4 linked regions of the Drosophila melanogaster genome follow. The protein of the gene in region 1 purifies or fractionates together with the protein of each later gene. This does not show direct contact. Each region holds a gene or a part of one and is shown in the gene's direction. Other genes may lie near its edges. The genes, in order: Nlp, CTCF, ProtA and mod.

What was found.
Region 2: the proteins of Nlp (region 1) and CTCF purify together in Drosophila melanogaster (affinity purification with western blotting, with the first as the bait; one study listed by BioGRID). This does not show direct contact.
Region 3: the proteins of Nlp (region 1) and ProtA purify together in Drosophila melanogaster (affinity purification with western blotting; 2 studies listed by BioGRID, with this or other methods). This does not show direct contact.
Region 4: the proteins of Nlp (region 1) and mod purify together in Drosophila melanogaster (affinity purification with western blotting, with the first as the bait; one study listed by BioGRID). This does not show direct contact.

What each region holds. Positions count from the first base shown.
Region 1 is NT_033777.3:30,002,945-30,010,813, forward strand, and holds Nlp (nucleoplasmin), read left to right. Parts: upstream 1-1,840; 5' UTR 1,841-2,089; coding exon 2,090-2,111; intron 2,112-2,343; coding exon 2,344-2,477; intron 2,478-3,089; exon of another isoform or gene 3,090-3,112; coding exon of another isoform or gene 3,113-3,322; intron 3,323-3,392; coding exon of another isoform or gene 3,393-3,575; intron 3,576-3,632; coding exon of another isoform or gene 3,633-3,778; intron 3,779-3,840; coding exon of another isoform or gene 3,841-4,143; intron 4,144-4,203; coding exon of another isoform or gene 4,204-4,513; intron 4,514-4,587; coding exon of another isoform or gene 4,588-4,928; intron 4,929-4,988; coding exon of another isoform or gene 4,989-5,288; intron 5,289-6,069; coding exon of another isoform or gene 6,070-6,085; exon of another isoform or gene 6,086-6,245; intron 6,246-6,733; coding exon 6,734-7,036; 3' UTR 7,037-7,408; downstream 7,409-7,869. Other genes in the region: tace, read left to right, coding at 1-66, 129-234, 308-470, 536-578; Nph (nucleophosmin), read right to left, coding at 826-960, 1,046-1,213, 1,360-1,505, 1,638-1,659; CG7912 (uncharacterized protein), read right to left, coding at 3,113-3,322, 3,393-3,575, 3,633-3,778, 3,841-4,143, 4,204-4,513, 4,588-4,928, 4,989-5,288, 6,070-6,085; CG7920 (uncharacterized protein), read right to left, coding at 7,719-7,869. UniProt on the Drosophila melanogaster protein: Binds to core histones and functions in the ATP-facilitated assembly of approximately regularly spaced nucleosomal arrays. May participate in parallel with other histone-binding proteins such as NAP-1.
Region 2 is NT_037436.4:7,353,068-7,358,671, reverse strand, and holds CTCF (CTCF), read left to right. Parts: upstream 1-1,958; 5' UTR 1,959-2,091; exon of another isoform or gene 2,092-2,212; 5' UTR 2,213-2,214; coding exon 2,215-2,605; exon of another isoform or gene 2,606-2,666; coding exon 2,667-4,630; intron 4,631-4,692; coding exon 4,693-4,794; 3' UTR 4,795-5,094; downstream 5,095-5,604. Other genes in the region: pst (pastrel), read left to right, coding at 57-226, 297-1,134.
Region 3 is NT_033779.5:14,878,537-14,883,338, reverse strand, and holds ProtA (protamine A), read left to right. Parts: upstream 1-1,686; 5' UTR 1,687-1,828; intron 1,829-3,699; 5' UTR 3,700-3,720; coding exon 3,721-4,101; intron 4,102-4,150; coding exon 4,151-4,210; 3' UTR 4,211-4,289; downstream 4,290-4,802. Other genes in the region: ProtB (protamine B), read left to right, coding at 652-1,032, 1,082-1,135.
Region 4 is NT_033777.3:32,050,245-32,055,486, forward strand, and holds mod (modulo), read left to right. Parts: upstream 1-1,815; 5' UTR 1,816-1,932; intron 1,933-2,075; 5' UTR 2,076-2,152; intron 2,153-2,236; 5' UTR 2,237-2,490; coding exon 2,491-2,733; intron 2,734-3,001; coding exon 3,002-3,311; intron 3,312-3,378; coding exon 3,379-4,113; intron 4,114-4,179; coding exon 4,180-4,520; 3' UTR 4,521-4,730; downstream 4,731-5,242. Other genes in the region: krz (kurtz), read right to left, coding at 1,025-1,595. UniProt on the Drosophila melanogaster protein: Its capacity to bind DNA and protein(s), and its differential expression during development suggest a role in the regulation of gene expression during Drosophila development.

The sequences.
Region 1 (7,869 bases):
TTCCCCGTAGAGCCACCTGATGTCCTACCCGATGGCACACCCTGCATCACAGGATTCTGCAACAAGGTATGCTTGTGGATTGACTCCTTACATTGCCCATAATTATGCTAAGCTGCGATTTCTTTCAGGGCGTATGCGAAAAGACCATACAGGATGTGGTGGAGCGCTTCTGGGACATCATCGAGGAGATAAATGTGGCCAAGACCTTGAGGTTTCTCAAGGACAACATTGTCAGTAAGTATTGCAATCTTAAATATTACATTCTGAAGATCCCCACTAAGCCACACTTGCTCAATCATATTTTCAGTGGCCGTTGTCCTCGTCACTGCAGTCTTTTGGATTCCCATCAGTTGCGTCATATCTTACTTCGACCGCAAGAAGCTGCGCCATGAAATGAAGCTGATTGAGTGGAGCCAGAAACTGGACCTTATACATCCCAGTGACGAGAGGCGTCGAGTGATTCACATACGGTAGGCGCTCAGCCTCCTACTTTATAATTATATACTGATAACCAACCACCAATCTATACTTTCAGAGTGCCACGCCAGAAGATTTCGGTGGCCCGAGCCTGTAATTAGCACAAAAACCCAGTGGGTTCCTTTTGTTTTAATCTTCCGTGAGCATTCTTCTTAAAACTGCCACAATTCGTTTACATTAAGTGACATATTTGAACATACGCAACACAGAATGAATAAAATTCCATATAATATAGACCAAAAACAAAAGGTCATTATAATTGGATGGTTTCTTTACATTATTAAAGTCGTATTGAAGTTTTTATTTTTTTCGGATCATTTAGTTAGCTTACTGGAGTGTAATGTGTTTCTACTTCTTCTTATTACTCTTGCCGTTCGTCTGAGGAGCTGCTTCTTCGTCGAATTCCAGTTCGCTATCCTCCTCCTCGTCCGAATACTCCTCGTAAATCTGACCGTCGTCAAACTCGCCAAAGTTCATCTCGACCTGAGGGTACGGCAATTTGTTAGGAACAGGAACCCAAAGTAGATAGAAAGATAGATAGATGGATGGATGGATGGATGGAGCTCACCTTGCCGCATACGTGTACGGGTCCACTTCCCTGCACCAGTTTGAAGGTCACTGATCCATTGGGGAACTCGACATTTGGTCTTAAGCTACGGGTCTCGCCGACCTTCAACACGGCAATGGGGATCTTCAAGGTTTTCTTCTCGCCATCGTCGTTTATGTTCGTCTCCGCCTGGAAGCGAAACATTAAATTTGTGTGCATTTTATCACTGTATAATTTCCGAGTTTTTCGCGAAATATGATATGAGTTAAATCAGCCATGTCGCCTTTAAATTTACGACCTGCGACGCGGGGCAGATTGCCGGTATCGAGGCTCACCTGTACAACGTTGAATTCGCCGGTCTTCGCTTCTGGGCCGAGGGAAATCTGTTTGATGATGAGCTTGTGCGAGTGGACGATGTACTCCTCGGGTACATCTGGGACCTCGAACTGTGCGATGGCCTCCTTCTCGCTGAGTGTGACACCTGGAAGTGGACGAACGGCGAGAAGGGTTGGATTTCCGACTGCTTTTTGCCGGCTGGAGGGGAGCTGCTCGCAGCGTGGCTATGGGATGGCTATTGGAGCGCTCTTCCAGCCCAAATGGCAATGGTACTCACCATAAAACGACTCGGACTCCATTTGCAGGCCTTGGAACACAGATGTACAGTCAATTAATAAAAGAACCTTTTGTACTCTACACGTGCCCGTAAAACGGCGATGGCTGCAGTTGTGTGAAGCGTTGAGCGGTGCTGTTATCGAAGCGCAGGACTATCGATATTATTCGTTTAATTTGTTGGGAACTTCGCAAGTACTGGTAATGAAGACTTGAAATATTTTTTAATATATTTTACTGTCGCGTTAGCTTGCAACAAACGAATATAGATTGTCACATTCGATTGGACACTACAAGTGGCAGCCCTGCGATTTTGATTCCCAGTCTGACAATCATCGATTTCGGCACCTTACGTCGGCCTGGCAACCCTGCGACAGCTACCATTTTGCAAAAGATTTTGCTCAACACGTGTTCGCCGCTGGTTTTGTGTGGAATTAATATTAAATATTACCTACCATGGCTGAGGAATCATTCTACGGTAATTACAATTTAGCAGTTGCACTCTATAGGCAGCGAAAGGGGGCAAAAGTGGACGCGTAGAAGGCGTATTTACCACCGAAAAGGCGGAGTGTCTGCGAAGCTTGCCGGTGTTTTTGCTCTAAGATTTGCCGCTGGCCAATTTGTGTGTGTCTAGCCTCAAACCCTCGGATTTGAGTGCGCGAATAAGATACGAATCAGAAAGTATAATGGCGACTATATCCCCTCCGCAGGAGTCACTTTGACCGCCGAGAGCGACAGCGTCACGTGGGATGTGGACGAGGACTACGCACGCGGCCAGAAGCTGGTCATCAAACAGATCCTCTTGGGCGCCGAGGCCAAGGAGAACGAGTTCAACGTGGTCGAGGTGAGTACTCCATTCATTGTGTATGCGAAACGGGGCATTCAGTGCATGTAGTAAATCCCATAAATTGTGTATGCGCGCGCCGGTTGGTGTCCTCTTCTTTTTTTCTTTTTCATTTTTTTTTTCGTTGCATTTTTCCGGCCGGCGGGGCAGGGACCGGTTTCCATTTTTCCCCCAGACCAGAACAACCTCGAACTTTTCGCTCGTTGTGGTGGGCTAGGGTAATTGTGTCTGTACATCTGCAAACGGCCGCCGAGTAACCAGCCCCGGACTTTCGATTGCCATGGTACATTACCAATGGGATGTGCTAGGTACATAAATTCTTTTTAGTACAAGGTACTTGCAAAGAAGTACTAGGTACTTTACAACTGTCCCAGTAAATCCAGGGACTTAGGTGTTTTGTATATTGTTAGGAACTTTCGAGAATAACTATCAAAGCACATCTTCTTTAAAGAATATAATTTTTATTATAATAAATATTTTTAATTTGTGCTTTAAAATTTCTCATTAGTTGTACCTAACCATCATTATACCTTAACCATCAAGATCCTCATAGTTTAAGTACCCCACCTTTCCGAACCAAATTCATTGGCGCAACTGTACGCAGATACACATACGGCAAGACAAAAGAGCACTCTTTATTGACTCAAGTCAACGGCGATACACGAATCGGCTGCCTCGGCATCCGCAATTGTTTGCATTAGGTCTGGAAAGCTTTTCGAGAACTTGAACATACTGCGCAGCTTCCTGTCCATCCGGCAAATCACTCCCGCCGCCGGAATACTCCAATTCCAGCAGATCATGTCGCACTTCAGCAGGGCGAGATCTTCGCGCAGTGACTTGAGGTTCTTCGCGAGGAATAGAGAAGAGGTTTCGGGTCAAAGGTCATAGTTTGCAGCAAAGAAAGCTGGCACTCACCAAAGCCACTGTCGTATCAATTGAGGCAATCTCGTGTCCCTTAATGACCACCAGTGTGGTGGGGGCACTTCCCTCGCTGTTTCTTTGCGTCACGTGCGACACAAGCGACATTTTCAAGTACTCGGCTGCCGCGTAGTCCACGCTGCCCTTGAGATCGGCCATGGTCACCTCAATGCCGTTAAACTAGGTTGATTGCCAATAGAAATTATTAGGCCCTATATATGCAGTGTGTCAGCTCACCTTCTCGGTTGTCAAGAAAAACTGCGGCTTCATGCTCTTGTAGAGCAGGAAAAGCGCATTGAAGACGATGCCCACCACCATTCCGTACTCCAGGGTCCAGAAGACACAGGTCAGCACGGTAACCAGGAAAGGCAGCATATCGCGCTCTGTAAGATAACCAGACTTACTTTAACTTCACGTGGGATCCCAAATGCCATGTAGCACTCACTTTTAGCCCGCCAAATCTCGCCAATGGTCTCGTACTCCACCATAAAGAACATGGCTGCAATGATGATGGCTGCCAGGGTCGCCTTCGGAATGTAGGCAAATGTGGTGGTGAGGAAGGCCAGGGTCATGAGGACGAGAGCGCCGGTAACCGCACCACCCAGCGGGGTTTTTACTCCACTGGCGTTGTTGATGGCTGTCCTTGTAAAGGATCCAGTGATAGGCATGGAGGAGAAGAAGCTGCTGAGGATGTTGCTGACGCCCAGGGCAATCATCTCCTGCGATGCGTCCACTATCTTGCCCTTGGCTGAAAGTAGAAGAAGCTCAAGTTATGGAATATGAACTGAAGTTATTCCTCCGCACTCACAGAAGGCCTTGGCCACAGCTATGCTCTCCAATATGGACAACAGTGGTATGGACACCAGGGCAGTGCCTACGTTCGATACCATGCCACCGAAGCTAATGGTTTCTCCAGTCTCTGGATCCTCCGTGTGAAAAGGGGGAAGCTTGAAAGGCGGCAGGCCTGGAGTGATGCTGCCGCTGACTAGAAAGGGCAGTTTGCCATCGTTCTTCAGAAGATAGCACAGGAGTATGCCAATTAACACGGCCACAGCATTGCGGGCCAGTGAAATATACTTCCACACGCTTTTGAAGCCGAAAGTTAGGTTTTTCAGTTGCTGAAATTATTTAAACATTTATAGTCTCGCTAATCAAACCTTCTAATTAAGCAATTTAATTAAGCATTACCCACCCTCATGAGCAGCAGGAGCACAAGTGTGCAGCAGCCGAGGATGGCATCATTTCGGCGTGTTTGTGTTATGTGACCGAAGAAGTATATCCAGCTGTTAAGGAACCCACTGGCACTACTGCTAATGCCAAAGAGGCTATTAACCTGGCCGGTGGCAATGGTTAGGGCGGCTGCCATCGTAAAACCCGTGGTCACCGGCACCGATATGAACCGCATGAGCACTCCGAGATTGAGTAAACCCATTAGGGTGATGATGCAGCCGGACAGAAAGCATATTAGCACCGCATACGCTGGGTTGCCGTCCACATATGGCTGCACCATAAGCGCCATGATGGCCGTAGGGCCTGTGGAAGAACGATTTGAATTACTTAGCGCACCACCTCACCAGAGGCTCCCCAACTCACCCACTGTGATATCCTTACAAGTTCCAAGCAGTATGTACACAAATCCACCCATAAAAGCGGAGTAGAGCCCATAGGCTGGTGGCAGATTGGCCACAGCTCCGTAGGCTATGGCCTGTGGCACGGCTGTGAGGCCCACGGTGAGACCCGCCACCACATCCATGGCCAGGAAGTTCAACTGGTACTTGGGCAGCCAATCGGTGACGGGCAGGTATCTGTGGACGGAGCGCATGCTGCAGCAGCTCCTCGCCTTTGAGCTCACGGCACCGCAAACGTTCGGCAGACGCTCCCGGTAGAGATCATCTGGAAAGCACAAGTGGGCTATTTAGTAGGTGTGCCTCCTGGGGCGCCTTGAAATCTTGATATGGCCATAGTTAAGTGGTTTATTTGATTGAAAAACGCTCTTTTATGTACACCCATTCGCAATCTCTGCACATGATCTGAAGTGCCTCGATGATTTCCTGCGGTTCGGTGGTCTTGTGACTTCTGGAAAAATACCAAAGATGTCTACAAGCTGATAGACAAGTTCATCCAGCAGGCAGCACAATGCCTTGATGTTAGCACTTTGAACCCTCTGTTTTGGTGTCTCATATTCTAGATAATTAGTGAGCCGCATATAGTATCCTTGGCTAGTTTGTATCTTATGCATTTATATTATTCAACGGGGGAAATTTACGTTTTGATCCCTTCTTGCTTGATGGACACGTTCATCCCCAGGAAGCCAGCTTGTCACTGATAACTCATCTTTCGCAGCTCGTAATAGCACTGTCATCTTGTGGATTCTCTTGTCTAATTACGGACTCATTACCGGGTATTTACCATAAATAATGTAATGTCTCCGAAGACCTTTGTTTAGTTTCCTTTAATTGTAGTTTATCTCATCAAGTTTTAGGTAAACTAGTTCTTTATTTATCACAGCACAATCAAACAGTGTTTGTTCCTTCACTAATTATAGCCCCATTGAGTAATAGTTTGTGTTTTCTGATATTCAGTTGGTTGGTTTTAATAGAAGGGGAAGGAGTAGTTTCCTTCGTATCACACTGCTTTCACTTATCCTCTTGAGGGAACGCGCTTCTCCACTTACCTTCGTTATCGCGCATGTCGACAAGATCTTTGGAGCACTTTACGATCGGCCAATACTAGTTTTGATTCGAATTACACGTTGCGGATGATTAATTAGCAGTCACTTGTTAGATTCGCGCTTGCTGGACTCCGGTTCAGATGAGCCTGGCTACAGTTTAAAGGGAACGAACCGATCCACTCCAGTGTGGGCAGACGAGTGGTCAGGCGGCCGCCAGTCGACGGTGTTATTACCGAAAGCGACTGTGCGAATATGTGAGTGCGTAGGCAGTTATCATCGGACAGTTCAGTTAGTTTTGGGGAAGGTGTTCTGTTCGGCCGACAACGATAAGAGATAGAGACGAAGACGAAGACTGCAGAGCGATTAAGTGGGCCAGTCGTGATGAACTTCGCGCTATCTGCTCGCTGGATCCGAAATTGGTGTAATCTGGGAATTCAACAACTATCTTCGGCCACTTGAAAGGCATATGACGGGGATCTATATGGGTCAATCTTGGCCAGCAATCTTATGCAGTTAAAAGCAGGAAAAGATTGATGTTTCAATTGATGTTCCTACCTAAGTGAACAATAGATAACATTCGAAACGTGTCTAACTTCAATTTATTTATAAGCCACTTGAAAAGTCAATGAATCTATCTAATTTGCGAATCTTCGCCTTGTTTACGCAGGTGAACACACCCAAGGACTCCGTGCAAATTCCCATCGCCGTATTGAAGGCCGGAGAGACCCGCGCCGTCAATCCCGACGTGGAGTTCTACGAGTCGAAGGTGACATTCAAGCTGATCAAGGGCAGCGGACCCGTCTACATCCACGGGCACAACATCAAGGACGATGTGGAGGTGGTCGACATGGAGGAGGATGACGAGGAGGATGATGTCGCCGAGGACGAGGAGGACGAGCACCCAAAGAAGCGCGCCAAGATCGAGAACGCCGCCGATGGTAAAAATGCCAAGAACAACAAGAAGAAGTAAACTGCTGACCGCCAATCATCCATCGAGGTTTAAGCTATGAACGTGTAGATTTTAAAGCAAAAACAGTTTTAGGCCCTATAATACAATACGATGCATACTGAGAATACAATCTAGTTCCTTTTGAACAGCTCCTTTTACATTCAATTCAAAGACAACGTTGTGTGCTCGGTCGTGTTTCCCCAGCGAATGGTCTGTCGCTCAGCCAGGAGTTCCGCACCCGGAAGCGGGAGCGGATCGGACTGTGACTGATCCGGACACTAATCGAACACACAGATTTGTATATATATTAAAGTATAACTAAAGCTAAGCCGGACTTCCTGTACGCGCCCCTTCATATTTGCAGTATGAAAATAAACTTGTCGGAATACAAACAATATTATTGCATTTTACTAAAGTGGGAGTTCGTTTTAAACGCTCTCTTACACTGATGAACTAAGTGGCAACTATAAATACTTATCTTCCCCGTTTAGCAAACATTCTTGAAACCAGGCATTTAATCAATTTCAGTTTTATTTCTCCCATCAATTCGTTACTCATCAATTGAAATTTCAGATTTGGTAATGCTAAAGGGCTATCATGATTGCAGTTCTATGAAGTGGATCAAAGCGATATCGGGAATGCCTTCAAAGATTGCGGGTCGCTGCTAGTAAATAGTGATCTCTAGTGCTTCTTCAGTGCTTGCTTAGTTCGGCGAGGGCATAACCTTGATGCGCTCGAAGGCTTGTTTCTCCAGGGTCTCGCGGTGCTTGGGATCGGCGATCTGGATGAGTTCGTACATCCTCTGGCGCACGTTCTTGCCGAACAGCGAGGCGATTCCATGCTCCGTGACGACG
Region 2 (5,604 bases), on another chromosome or scaffold:
CTGTGATTAGATTAGGCTAGATAGATTAAACTTATGAAATTTATGATCTTCCACAGAAAGCAAAAGACGGTGACGAAATAGTTGCGATGGATGTTTTGCAATTGTCCGCTTCGTTGGTGCTGCTCACGCACAGCGTCTACAACTTTAAATTGGCTTCGACCATAATTAATGAGACAAGCAATGCTAATATTGCCGACTATCGTAAAAACCTTTCTAATAGGCAGCGGTAAAAAACGTTCAATGAGATACATTCTGTCGTAAACAAGAGTTTCTACTTGTATTTTTTTTACCATCAGGCGAACCTTTGACAAGGCTGCCAAGGAGACCGTTCGGATGCAAGGCAACACTCGCGGCAAACTGGACATTATACGCAACGTAAACGAAATTTCGCCACAAGAGTTTAATGATCTTTTTAAGATCAACAAAAACTTGAATCAGGAGGGCGTGCGATACTCATTCGCACCCGATGGCAAAGGATTTTTACTAAATGGCGATGTGCAGACGACGGGTGCGGAATTGCGAGCTAGTGTACAACATAACCAAGGAGGGAATGTCCTAGGCAAAGTTAGTCAGCCCATTCCCGGTAGCCATGCGGGTTCTGGTCGCCTTCAACTGGGCGGCGTTAATCAGGTTTCCCGTCTAATCGGACCGCTGCCCACATCCCATCCTCGACAGGAACCCAGTACCTATGCCGCCGGCGTGTTCGCCTTGGAGCTAAGCTCTGTGTTGGTGGGCGGTGTTGTTTTCGTACTGGAGAAATACGGAAAAATCATATTTGAGCACGTGATCAATGCTGAAAGTTTTGAGAGCCTAATCAACATCATGGCCAATAAGCTTGATCCAAAAGTCTTTGACCATATAATGCTATTGACCAGAGCCTTCATGGACACCATGCTGGAAGACCTCACCTCGGTGCTAAAGTTCTTTATATCAACGGAATCCGTTCTTTACCGCATTTTGTTGTACATTTTACGGAACTTCGAGGACGTGCAACTTTCGGTTATTGCGGATCACACTTGTGAGATCGTAGAAGCCGTAAGGGTGTACTTCATGTCCCTGAATCCAAATGCGTTCCCGGGTCTCCTTCAGAAGTGTCCGAAATGTATCGGCCACTTCAGCGTTTGTCCCTTGTAAGTGTTTAACGAAATGGTTCGTTTAACATTAGAATTCAAGGGCCATCAGCATGTCATAATTGATGCCCAATTGTTTAACCACAAAGAAACGTTAGCTAGTTCCGCAAATAATCAATGGGATAACTTACTTAATATGAGCACAAATTGACAAAGATGAAATTGTTTTAGCATTTAAATAAAGATTTTATTAACCCTGTTGAAATAATTGTAATAAAAGGAGAATTTTGAACCGGAATGGTTCTGATTTCCGGTTTTCGAACACAGAATATGTGAATCATTCATTGTGTAAAGGGGATTTTTTTTAATCTTTAAGAGTAATTCCTAAATTTACAATCTGATGTCATCTATACTATGGTATAATAGCAACAGCCATACCACCAAATCATTGAATGCCTTAGAATATAAGTCATAAATTCAAGTATCCCATAAGAACAACCCCAATTCTGGTGACAATAACAAATCCAGCCTGCCCTAATGTAACCATTAACATCTGCTGCCGAATCCGTTATTCCCACCAAAGGGTCAAAACCGCTAACGCAGCTCAAGTTCTCGGCTGATCAGTACCCATGAGCGATCCATCCACTCAAGAGGGCACCCAATCCAACAGACATAAACATCCGCAGGGGCTTTCGCGACATCAAAACCGCTTACGCAGCCCAAATCCTTGGCTTATCCAGTATCCAAAAGAATACAGATTATATTTTTTATCTAATAAATTACCGTGGATTCGTTATTATATATTTTCTGTTATCAAGAATTAAAGATAGTTTATATAGAGATGACAAGATACGAAACCAATCGAACTATCGATAGCTGGCGGTACTGATGCTACATGTCGCCATCTTTTATTAGAAATGGGCAGCTGTTTCATGTGGACGCAAATTAAATTGTAGATTTAACAACAATAACGACAACCGGCGTCCCTTTCAACATATTTTTTATTGGCAACCAAGTGTCGGTAGGTGAATTGAATCAAGCGGGATTACAATTGGTCGTTGCGAGAAATCGATAAGCGCCCTCTTCGGGATCCCGGTCATCCGCTGTGGGTCGCCACCAAAACAAATCCAATTTGTCCATAGGAATGCCAAGGAGGACAAAAAAGGACGAGGACCCCGAGGATCTGCAGACCTTCCTCAACAATTTCCATAAGGAGATCGAAGGCAACAGCGATGAGAAGGTGGTAAACACGATTTTGGAGGCCATCAGCGCCGAGGCCATCGACTTGGATGAAAATGGTGCGGAGGCTGGTGGATCGAAACCGATGGAGGAGGCGGAGGCTGATTTGGATCATGCGGAGGAAGCGGAGGAGGAGGAGGAGGACGACGAGGATAAGTATTTCATAGATGACGAGGGCAACTGCTATATCAAGACTACGCCCAAGAAGCAAAAGGAGCTACAAAAGAAGCTCAAACAGGCGGCTGCCAAGCCGGGGAAAGCTACACGTTCCGTGGTCAGTACAGCCACCAATAAATGTGAGTTACCCTTTGCCATATATGTGCGTGCATTTGTATCACTTGCTCGACTCTTTTTAAGCCATCAATTTGCGGCCAGCCAAATCGACACCGAAAGCGACTACTTCGAAGCCTCCCCCAGAACCCAAGGCAATTAGCGTTCGACCAGCCCGAGCAGCTGCAGCCAAGGCGAAGCAATCGGCGATGCCACCGCCACCGGCATTAGTGGTCAAAGTACCGGCACCCAGGGGCAGGCCTAGAAAGAACCCTGTCATACCGAAGCCTGAACCCATGGACTTGGAGCGGGAGCTCGAGGAGCTGGTAGATGAGCCCGACATCAGTTCAATGGTGACAGAATTGTCGGACTATACCGTAGACGAAGCTGCCGTAGAGGCAGCAACAGCTACGCTGACGCCAAACGAGGCTGAGGTCTACGAATTTGAGGACAATGCGACGACAGAGGATGAGAATGCCGACAAGAAGGACGTAGACTTTGTGCTAAGCAACAAGGAGGTGAAGCTGAAGACAGCTTCTTCTACCAGCCAGAATTCGAATGCATCGGGACATAAGTACTCATGCCCACACTGCCCGTATACGGCGAGCAAGAAGTTTCTGATCACGCGCCACTCACGAAGTCATGACGTCGAGCCATCCTTCAAGTGCTCCATCTGCGAGAGGTCCTTTCGATCGAACGTGGGCCTGCAAAACCACATAAACACGCACATGGGCAATAAGCCGCACAAGTGCAAGCTCTGCGAAAGCGCCTTCACCACCAGCGGCGAGCTGGTCCGTCACACTCGCTACAAGCACACTAAGGAAAAACCGCACAAGTGCACGGAGTGCACATACGCCAGCGTGGAACTGACCAAACTGCGCCGCCACATGACCTGCCATACGGGCGAGAGACCATATCAATGTCCGCACTGCACCTACGCATCGCAGGACATGTTCAAGCTGAAGCGACACATGGTTATCCACACCGGCGAGAAGAAGTACCAATGCGACATCTGCAAGTCGCGATTTACGCAATCTAACTCACTAAAGGCCCACAAGCTCATCCACAGCGTGGTCGACAAGCCCGTCTTTCAGTGCAACTACTGCCCGACGACTTGCGGTCGGAAGGCTGACCTGCGCGTTCACATTAAACACATGCACACCTCTGATGTGCCAATGACATGCCGGCGCTGTGGCCAGCAGCTGCCCGATCGCTATCAATACAAGCTGCACGTTAAGTCACACGAGGGCGAAAAGTGTTACAGCTGCAAGCTGTGCAGCTACGCTTCGGTCACCCAACGCCATTTGGCCTCACACATGCTCATCCACCTGGACGAAAAGCCGTTCCATTGCGATCAGTGCCCGCAGGCCTTCCGGCAGCGTCAATTGCTGCGCCGCCATATGAATCTCGTGCACAACGAAGAGTATCAGCCACCAGAACCGCGCGAGAAACTGCACAAGTGTCCGAGTTGTCCGCGGGAGTTTACCCACAAGGGTAATCTAATGAGACACATGGAGACTCACGATGATTCGGCGAATGCTCGCGAAAAGCGGCGTCGCCTTAAATTGGGCCGCAATGTGCGGCTGCAGAAAGATGGCACTGTCATCACGTTGATCAAGGATCAGTATGTGGATATGGACCGGGACCAGGAGGAAAACGAAGAGGATGACAACCCAGAGAGCTATGACTTGGCTGAAATCGAGCCGGAGAACTCGGAGGCTGAAGACGCCGATGATGATGTGGAAACCATAGTCAGTGATCCGATCCGTCAGAGAATCAAGCCAGCACCTATCATTATCAACAAACAGGCCAGGCTTGCCGCCTCCGAAAAGCAGCCGATGATCATCAATCAACGCCTCCGAAGTCAACGGGGCACCAAGACGTTCCACATCAAGGAGGAGCCGGACAACTCGGACTTCACCGTGGAATGGCAAGGGGATGATGGCGAGGTAATGGTCGTAGAGCTGGTTAATGGCGACGAGGAGGTGTTGGTCAAGCACGAACCGAGCGCCAACTCCAAGATCAGTGCCAAAAACTGCTTTGGTTTCGAGGTTAGTTGCAAAAACTTTAGCTGGCATTTGTTCCATTACTCAAAAATTTGGTTTTCATGCAGGACGACGATGATTATGAGGAGTATGGCGATGGGGAAAACGAGGTCGATGGCGCTTCCCAGGAGTTTCTGCAGCTGATGGATATGATTGAGCAGGACTCTTAGTCTCCTGAAAACAAAAGCTAATGGATAAGTAATTATGACTAACTTATGTACATACCAAGCATACAATAACGTATTTCTACGTTACATTGTTTTCTATTTAAATACACATTTAAAACAGTTAGGAAACCTATTTTTACTAGGTTAAGAAATGGATATTAAAAATGTATTCTTTCTAAATGAATGTATAATTCTGGATAAGCAGTTAACATGCCGATATGGCGACTATTTGTAAATGATCCCCGACACTTAAACTTTAGTTGACAACTTGGCATAAATATTTATTTAAATACATTTACATATATTTCAATGTTTTCATTAGTAGTATATAGTATATGGGCAAAATGTTAGGTGCGTTTGCGTTTAGCTGCATCTGGGCGTGCACTGTAAATTCTCGGCTATTAGTTGTCGTTTCTACCGTAAAATGTTCGCATAGTTTATAGTTTTCCATTTCCACTTCAGCAATCTGGTTAATTTTCTTGTTATTTTTCCGGTTTCTCTTGCCGTTTATTTCTTTTTGTTTCTTTCATGTGTATAACTACAATAAAAATATATATATTTTTATATATAATATATGTATATATTTTTTAGGTGGTGCAATGTGCAAAAACCTGCCGTGCAGTGCATCATTATCATTATTTCAATATATATAGTTGCGTTCATTTGTGTTGATTTTATAGTGTCTGCATAAAACATTAACAATTTGTCGTTAATAGTACATATGTATGTATGTATACGAATCGCATTTGTATAACAATTAAAATGGAACAACGTCGATAAAGGAAGTGCACATTGAGTTCCGAGTGAGTTAGA
Region 3 (4,802 bases), on another chromosome or scaffold:
AAGCGGAAATTCGGCGGCCACGCCTTTTTGGCGGCCGGCGTGTTTGTCTCGATGTCGGATGGATGTGGCCCTCCTATCTGGCTTTAAACTAATGCCGGGGCAGTCTGTCGACAGGCAACCACCTTGCCACGCCCCACGCCTTGTAATGACGTTATTTACATGCTGCAACAACACTGGCAGCAAGCGCGGGCAATTAAATAAATCATAGCGGTTCACGCGGTTCGGCCGAAAGAAAGATCCAGTTAATCTAAAGAGAAACTCTTAGTTCTTTCTTTCGTTGTCAGAGTGAAATTGTAAATAAATTACACGTCCTGATTGATCAACTTTTTGTTCGTTACAAAACAACGTCGGGAATCAGATTGCAACTGTTATTAATTATGGGCTTTGTTGCAGTTGCAACCGCTTGTCTCCTGCTGTTCAGGTCTTCATCCTGGTCGGTAGGGCTTGGGCTTTACTTTTGGTTTGAGACTCGGATTGCTCACTGAATAAGTGACTTCTCTAGGACGCAACTCTGCGGCTTCTGGGGCCAACACTCACATGCGGGGGGAACATACTCCATCACAGTTGATGGCTGACATCGTACACAACAAATAAATCCCATATAAAACTTCCCTTTCCTTTTCTTTTCAGAGTTTGTAAAAATTTTCTACGATGAGTTCAAATAATGTAAATGAGTGCAAGAGCCTGTGGAATGGCATAATTTCCATTTCTGCAAAAGATGAAAGTCCTAAAGGTCTCACTGAAATGTGTAATCATCCAAAGAGGAGAGCACCGCCCAAATGTAAGCCAATGAAGTCCTGTGCAAAGCCGCGCCGAAAGGCAGCCTGTGCCAAGGCGACTCGGCCCAAGGTCAAGTGTGCACCGAGTCAGAAGTGCAGCAAGCAGGGACCTGTCACTAACAACGCCTATTTGAATTTCGTGCGTTTCTTCCGAAAGAAGCACTGTGACTTGAAGCCGCAGGAATTAATTGCAGAGGCCGCTAAAGCGTGGGCCGAGCTCCCGGAGCATAGAAAGGATAGATACCGCCGGATGGTACGTATTTTTTTTTTATATTATGAAGACTATTAATTTGTCCTTTCAGGCATGCAAGGTCACCACCAGTGAACGCCACAAGCGCCGACGGATTTGCAAGTAATACTGAGATAGGAAAAAGTCTGATGCAGTTAAGTCCAGGCATATATTTTCATTGATTTGATACCATTCGATGAATTTAGAAATAAAAAAAATTAAAAACCGGGTTTCATTTTTTTTACGATTCTAGGATGTTGGAATAGCGCGAATGGGTATTTGTGGTTGTTCCAGGTGCCCGGCGAAATTCAATTTATTATTCCACTATATGAGCTTTCTAATGAGCTGTGATCCAAAGAAATGAAACGGCTGAGTGGTAAATGGGCACGGCAATGGTGAATTCGAAGATATGGATAGGCTTCTGCTTCAAGCTTTTCCACAGTTCTCTGACCAGGCGTCTGTTGTGAGACAATCGAAATACCCAAAAATTGTTTCACATAATTTATGCCACCTATGAGGAAAACTTGCCACACTGCCACTGGCAAAGGGAAACATGGGGGCGTAACCACCTAACAGAAGGATGTTTCCCAGGATGCGTATCCGCCGGCGTCGTTTCGATCAAATCTAACTTTATTCCATATAGTTGGCGTAGGTTTTGCCGTATACCCCTTATACCGGGCAGTCGGTTTTTTTAAACATTAGTTGTAACTTGGTACACAAACAGTTCACAAGCAAAATTTTTCCAAAAGTCTTATTTTTATGCTCTTCTTAAAAATTAGTTGTGACAAAAATTTGGTTTAAAAAAAAAAACTTTATAAAGGTAAGTGAAATAAAACGAATTACAATTTATTTTTACAGAACAACATACCATACAAATTATTTTAAACGAAGCGCATAATTATTTTTTATTGGTATGCCAATCAGTTTCGATAAACTTCATTTGAAAAAATTTTACTTTCAAAAATTTCTTTTAAAGAAGCTTTTGTGAAATTCAGTTCTGTAAATGCATTGTGATGCGATTAAATTAATGTCGACTGTCGACGTGGCGTGTTTGCCTCGATATCGGATGGATGTGGCCCTCCTATCTGGCTTTAAACTAATGCCGGGGGTAGTCTGTCGACAGGCAACCACCTTGCCACGCCCCACGCCTTGTAATGACGTCATTTACATGCTGCAACAACACTGGCAGCAAGCGCGGGCAATTAAATAAATCATAGCGGTTCACGCGGTTCGGCCGAAAGAAAGATCGAGTTAATGTGAAGAGAAACTCTTAGTTCTTTCTTTCGTTGTCAGAGTGAAATTGTAAATAAATTACACGTCCTGATTGATCAACTTTTTGCTCGTTGACAACCATAAAAGGGCAGTAGACAGGGGGCACACTGTCATTGTGGCCGAAAATGTCCAGGCAGCCGCTCGTAAACATAAATCCAAGTGACGCTAATTGTTTGTTGCAATTACTGCTGCAGTTGTTGCCACCGTTCAGTTACGTGTGCAGCCAAATGGGGCAATGAGTGGGGTTTTGGGCTAAGGGGTGGTGAGTAGGGACTTGTGCTTGCATGCAAATTTTGTTGCATCTGCAGTTGCTGCTGCTTGTGCTGCTGCTTGTGCTGCTGTTGACGCTGCAGCAACGGCAAACAATTACTCAAACATTGTTGCATCTGCTGCTGATGTTGCTGGCACTCATCTCGTTGTGCGTGCTAAATGGCAACTACTCTGGCGGCTAATGATAATCACTCGACGCCCTCAGCTCCTGTCGGTTCCTACTTAGTTTTACCTGCCCTCGTTGGCTTTTAAATCTAGTTTAGCACTTAATCAATCAAGGCTTCCTTTCATTGAAGAAAAATAGCTTTGAAGATAACTTCCTCCCGGCGAAGCCCCAATAATATCCATTCAACTCGTGCTGTTTTTTTTTATATTGATCCACAAGATAATTTTAAGTTCGAAGAGCCAAAAGGAGCATATTGGGCCTTCAATGAAGCTCTCTAGCTAAAGCGAATTTTGTATTCCAACTGGGTGTTCAGTGGGGTTTGATAGACAATGCAGGCAGTGTGGTGCGATGGCACAGCTGGTCACAAATTGTAATTTGTACACATCCATAACGATTTCAAATTAATATTTCGAATTAATATTTGTCAAGCCCAAAATATCAGCTGTGGGTGGCAAATAAATTGCTCGGATTTGAGGAAACTTCAGTAATCTTGAATTATACAGATATTGGTTTAGCTTTTTTATCCTTGGAGAGTCCTTCTATTAATTATTTACCACTGCCCATTTGCTGTCGGGTACTAATTTTCATTACAAACTACTGTAGATTTCCATGACAATTATATAACCAGTTCTTAATACTCATTGGTCTTGGCTAAGAACCGCCACTTAGGCTCCCACACATGGTGACTAAACGTCGGTTGTCGGGAGGCAGCTTGCAACTGTTATTAATTATGGGCTTTGTTGCAGTTGCAACCGCTTGTCTCCTGCTGTTCAGATCTTCATCCTGGTCGGTAGGGCTTGGGCTTTACTTCTGGTTTGAGACTCGGGTTGCTCACTGATTAAGTGACTTCTCTAGGACGCAACTCTGCGGCTTCTGGGGCCAACACTCACATGCGGGGGGAACATACTCCATCACAGTTGATGGCTGACATCGTACACAACAAATAAATCCCATATAAAACTTCCCTTTCCTTTTCTTTTCAGAGTTTGTAAAAATTTTCTACGATGAGTTCAAATAATGTAAATGAGTGCAAGAGCCTGTGGAATGGCATAATTTCCATTTCTGCAAAAGATGAAAGTCCTAAAGGTCTCACTGAAATGTGTAATCATCCAATAAGGAGAGCACCTCAAAAATGTAAGCCAATGAAGTCCTGTGCAAAGCCGCGCCGAAAGGCAGCCTGTGCCAAGGCGACTCGGCCCAAGGTCAAGTGTGCACCGAGGCAGAAGTGCAGCAAGCAGGGACCTGTCACTAACAACGCCTATTTGAATTTTGTGCGTTCCTTCCGAAAGAAGCACTGTAACTTGAAACCGCGGGAATTAATTGCAAAGGCCGCTAAAGCGTGGGCCAGGCTCTCGGAGAATAGAAAGGATCGATACCGCCGGATGGTACGTATATTTTTTATGTTATGAAGACTATTCATTGGTGTCCTTTCAGGCATGCAAGGTCACCACCAGTGAACGCCACAAGCGCCGACGGATTTGCCAGCAATACTGAGATAGGAAAAAGTCTGATGCAGTTAAGTCCAGGCATATCCTTTCCTAACATTCGATGAATTTAGAAATAAAAACCAATTAAAAATCGTGTACTTTTTATTACGATTCTAGGATGTTGGAATAGCGCGAATGGGTATTTGTGGTTGTTTCCAGGTGCCCGTCGAATTTCAATTTATTATTCCACTATATGAGCTTTTGCATGAATAGATAATGAGCTGTGATCCGAGGAAATGGAACGGGAAAACTGCTAAGGCTGAGCGGTAAATGGGCACGGCATTGGGAATTCGAAGGTATAGGAGGAGTTGCGTGTGCTTCAAGCTTTCCAGAGTTCTCTGACCCGTCGTCTGTTCTGAGACAGCTAAATTGAATTATTAATAACACGCAGTGCCCGCAATGTTATGGATGCCATAAACCCGTTTCTGCAACTGTTCTGTGAGTAAATGTAATGCACATTGTGGTTTTGGGAAGACAACCTTGGGACAGTTGGCAAAAATAGCAAACGAAAAGGCGAATGGAACGGAACGGACTAATCGCAGCACTTACGACCATAATTTGTCAATTTTCGAAACAATTCCCAAGGCTCGCATAAATTG
Region 4 (5,242 bases), 2.0 Mb from region 1:
AATTGTCATGAGGGGAAGCAGAGAAGCACTGAGAAATCGTTTCTTCCAACTGTACAAATTCCAACATTGTTGTTTTTATTCTTAAATTGAATTTGGGCTTATATACAGAAAAAATAAATATTAAGTTCTTGTTATAAACTCTTTTACCCAACAACACGCCAATTGCTGCTATTTTATTAATCTCTGTTTATAACAGTAAACAATTTGGCTGCTGAATAATAATAAAATTCCAACAGAAACTATAAAAGCACAAAAATGTGTAAACAAAATAGGGCAATAGGTAATAATATTTATTGAACAGAGAATGTATTAAGGGGGTGCCACGGGCACATAATATATATGCGAGTGGAGCTCGGCGATCGTACGAAAATATGAAAAATTTAAAATTTACAGAAACCAAAAACCTTTCTACTAATAAAATAAAGCACAAATTCTTTAAACCTTTTTTTAATTATTAAATACAGATTAGAAACTAAACAAATAAACATTTTGAAACTATGTAAGATCTTTGCTGTTGGCACACAAATCGTCAGACCGCCAACTGCGGCGCCTGGTTAAGGCGAACAACAGCATTAACTGCGCTGCAACTTCGGTTGATTCAAATTCCAATTAGAAGTGTCGAATTTCAATTAGGTGAACGCTGCGTCATCAGCCCGACGTAGTTGGATTGATTAACCCTGTGTTCCCAACCGCGTGATGCACGCGCTAACTTACACAAAACCACACATATAAGAAATTTACAGTCTAACTTCTATAGAAAAGAACAAAGCTAGTTTTGCTACTGTAACCATATTCTTAATAAATTATTTTATTCTCAGAAACAATAGTACCCGCAATTTAACTGCTCTAAGGTAAAAGAAAAATTTGTAAAGAAAAAAGAAAAATTTGTAAATTTGTAAATTTAATGTATTGCAACATATATAATAAACACGGTATGTGCCACACTGCGAAATATCAATGATTTTGACTTTGACTGACCACCGTATACGGACACACCCACAAGATCAGACCCACAAAGACTCACCCACAAAGGCCTTCAGCTCGTAGTCTACTCCGCAAGACTTGCCCACATCTCCAGGAGCCGGCTGCAAGGACACAGAGGCTGGGCAATAGGGCGGAACCTCAAAATAAAACGGATGGGCGTTCGGCCCCAGCTTTTTAATTAACCTTTCCTGAAGCCGGGTCATCGGGCGGTCCAGCTGCATGGGCGGATAGATCTGCTCATGCGCCAGATACAGGTCCTTACGGAACGTTAATCCCAAAACATCTAGGTCTTCACGTCCGTACCGAAAGGCGGCAAGCACCTGGCCAAAAACCTTACGGTCCTTTACGTACTCTGGATCAATGAAGACAACACCGTCAATGGGATCCACGTGCGTGACATGGTCGACGAAGTCCCGTTTGCCAAGGTAAACTGTTATCTTGCCGTTGGAGGAGCTCTTCTTAAACACCCGAGTCGCCTGGCGTCTGGAGCTGGCATCTCCACCAGTCTCGTCGCCTGCGCTTCCGCCCCCAGTGCTCCCGGCAGCTGTTACATTGGTGCTGGAGCCATTGCTCACATTTGCTCCTCCACTTCCTCCACCACCACCGTTCATTATGTTATTTGGCGGTTATGCTTGTTATTCTGCTTTTCTGCTGTTCCTGCTTAATTGGAACTCCGTTAAATAAATATATGTGTGCGTTGCGGGACTTGTGCTGCAATTTAATTTTTTATGTGTATACTTGTTCCGCCATTTACCAGCACTGCTTGACAGTCATTGGAAAAATACCAGGGAATATTACATACTAACAAATTATGTACTTCTCTGGTATTTCAATTCAGTGCGAACAAACCGATATATGTTTGGTCGTACCATAATCGCAGCCTATAATTAATATTTATTTTGCATTTTTGGCACCTATTTATATTTCCTAAGTGTGCCCTGGCCCATAGTAAGTGACTTTTAATAATTTTTCTTTCAATACCATTAACAATTGCTTGAATTAACATTAAGTTTCCTACTAAGATAAAATGCAACTGCAGGTTGACTTGGCTTTTTAATGAAATATAATATATATATTATAAATTCCTTTAGAAACAGATGATTCATAGCTGATGATTGAGGAAACTTACCATTTGGAATGTATAAACACATGTAAAATCAGACCGTTGGTAAATATCTAATCATAGATTGTATCCTAAGTCTTAAATAAATACTTTATATAAACTGTTTAATATTTATTTTATTTTTTAAAGGCTTTTATTATTTTTATATGTATACATGTGCATGAACGGACTTTAAACCATATTTAGTAGTGGAATAGAGCTATAAAAATGAGATTGAAGTCTCTAAAATACTTTATTTAATCAGCCTTAGCACCGATAGAGCACAACGGTCACACTGTTCTGTCCCTCTTTTCCACGTGCATTTTATTGAACGAAACCACGCGTTGTTCAGTCCAAACTTGACTTTGCTAATTTTGCCCAGAAAACCTCTAAAAGCTGTCAAAATGGCCCAAAAGAAAGCCGTCACCGTCAAAGGAAAAAAAGCTACGAATGGAGAGGAAAAGCCTTTGGCCAAACGGGTAACCAAGTCCACAAAGGTACAGGAAGAGGAGACAGTAGTCCCCCAATCGCCTTCCAAAAAATCCAGAAAACAGCCTGTTAAAGAAGTGCCGCAGTTCAGTGAAGAGGACGAGTCTGATGTGGAGGAGCAAAATGACGAGCAGCCAGGGGACGACAGCGACTTTGAGGTAAGCTATAAAAAAAACGTGGTCTTCTGAATGGATATGGCTAACATTACATGCATAGTATGCACGTATATATAGATCTGCATGGATAAGAATCCATTTTACGTTTTCTTTGCCACGTGGTTGTAAAGATTTTATAATTATAAGACGAGTGCACATAACCCACGATCCTCTGGTTTTATACCGACTCGGTTCATATATCGATAAAAAAAAAATTGTCTTTATTGGTGCTCTCCCATCAGCGGTTATAAGAAAATTGTCTACTTTTCAGACCGAAGAGGCAGCGGGCTTAATTGACGACGAGGCTGAGGAAGATGAAGAGTACAATAGTGACGATGAGGAAGATGATGATGACGATGAGTTGGAGCCTGGTGAGGTTTCCAAAAGTGAAGGCGCGGATGAGGTAGATGAATCCGATGATGATGAAGAAGCGCCTGTAGAGAAGCCAGTTTCCAAGAAATCAGAAAAAGCCAACTCTGAAAAGTCCGAAGAAAATAGAGGAATTCCAAAAGTAAAGGTTGGCAAGATTCCGCTGGGAACGCCAAAAAACCAGATCGTTTTTGTCACAAACCTACCAAACGGTAAAGTAACTGGTTTATTATTTCATTTTTCAAGTATATTTAAACTTAGTATATTTGTTCCACATAGAGTATCTCCACAAGGACTTGGTCGCATTGTTCGCCAAGTTCGGACGACTTTCCGCTTTGCAGCGTTTCACTAATTTGAATGGCAATAAATCAGTTCTCATTGCCTTTGATACGTCAACTGGAGCAGAAGCTGTTCTGCAGGCTAAGCCTAAAGCGTTAACCCTTGGAGACAATGTTTTGTCTGTGTCCCAACCGAGAAATAAGGAAGAGAACAACGAACGCACGGTGGTGGTTGGCCTGATTGGACCTAATATTACCAAGGACGACTTAAAAACCTTTTTTGAGAAGGTAGCTCCCGTGGAGGCGGTGACTATATCCAGTAACCGCCTCATGCCCAGAGCTTTTGTACGTTTGGCGTCGGTCGATGACATACCGAAGGCTCTTAAACTGCATAGCACTGAGCTGTTTTCTCGCTTTATAACGGTTCGTCGGATCTCACAAGAATCGATTTCACGTACCAGTGAACTTACCTTGGTTGTCGAAAATGTGGGCAAACACGAGTCTTACAGCTCCGACGCTCTAGAAAAGATATTCAAAAAATTTGGTGATGTTGAAGAAATCGACGTTGTGTGCAGCAAGGCAGTTTTAGCTTTTGTCACGTTCAAGCAGTCGGATGCCGCCACGAAGGCTTTAGCACAACTCGACGGAAAGACTGTTAATAAGTTTGAGTGGAAGCTTCACCGATTCGAACGCAGCACCTCGGGGAGGGCCATTCTTGTGACGAACTTGACTTCAGGTGGGTTACCCGTTTCGTAAAATTGTTTAAAATTATTAATCATTATCATGTAAAATTTCGTTGTAGATGCTACTGAAGCCGACCTGCGGAAAGTGTTTAACGATAGCGGCGAAATCGAAAGCATCATAATGTTGGGCCAAAAAGCGGTAGTAAAGTTCAAGGACGATGAGGGTTTCTGCAAATCTTTCTTGGCTAATGAAAGCATTGTAAACAACGCCCCTATATTTATTGAGCCAAACTCTCTGCTGAAGCATAGATTGTTAAAGAAACGCTTAGCTATTGGTCAGACCCGCGCCCCGCGGAAGTTCCAAAAGGACACTAAGCCAAACTTTGGTAAAAAACCATTTAACAAGCGCCCGGCACAAGAGAATGGTGGTAAATCGTTTGTTAAAAGGGCAAGATTTTAGAACTTGAACACTACAAGAATTAGCTTTAAGTTGCGTAGTACCATAAATACGGCCACAGCCCCGATAATTCCATACAACTTGATGTTATGGATTTAGTTGATAAGAGATACTCCATTAAATTTTTACCGGAGAAATGCTAGCCGTATTCAAGCAGATGTCGATTTTTATAAGCATCGGACATGGAACTAAATAAAAGTAAATAAAAACCCCGATAAGAATTTTGTATTCAACGTCTTGGTTTTGGGTAACTAGATACTTCAAAAAACGATTTACTGCTTATATGAACGTATACAGGTGCGATCTCCAGTATATTCCGTTTTTTTTTTTGTGTTTGAATTTTATCTCGCTTCGGTACTCTCGTATATAGGTTCCTATCCCTTCCAAATGGCCCAATGTACAGCTGCGCTTGTTCAAAAAGCGAGAACTATATGAATTTCCTTTGTATAATTAATTTATTAGTAATACATTTTTGTAGTATTTTATAATTTTTTGAATTTTTTTGTTCATACTCAGAAATCTAATATGGTTGGCTAACATATGTATAAACTTGTAAATGTTTGTATGTATGTTTATATTTTTTGTAAATGCCATTTAGATTAGTACTTTAAATTTCAGTAATTGTTGGTTCAAAAAATTAGTTTATCCTTTTTATGTGTAAATATGTATAAAAAATCATCACTTGGATAAAAGCAACGTATAGGGAGTTTAGCCAACCTAAAAAA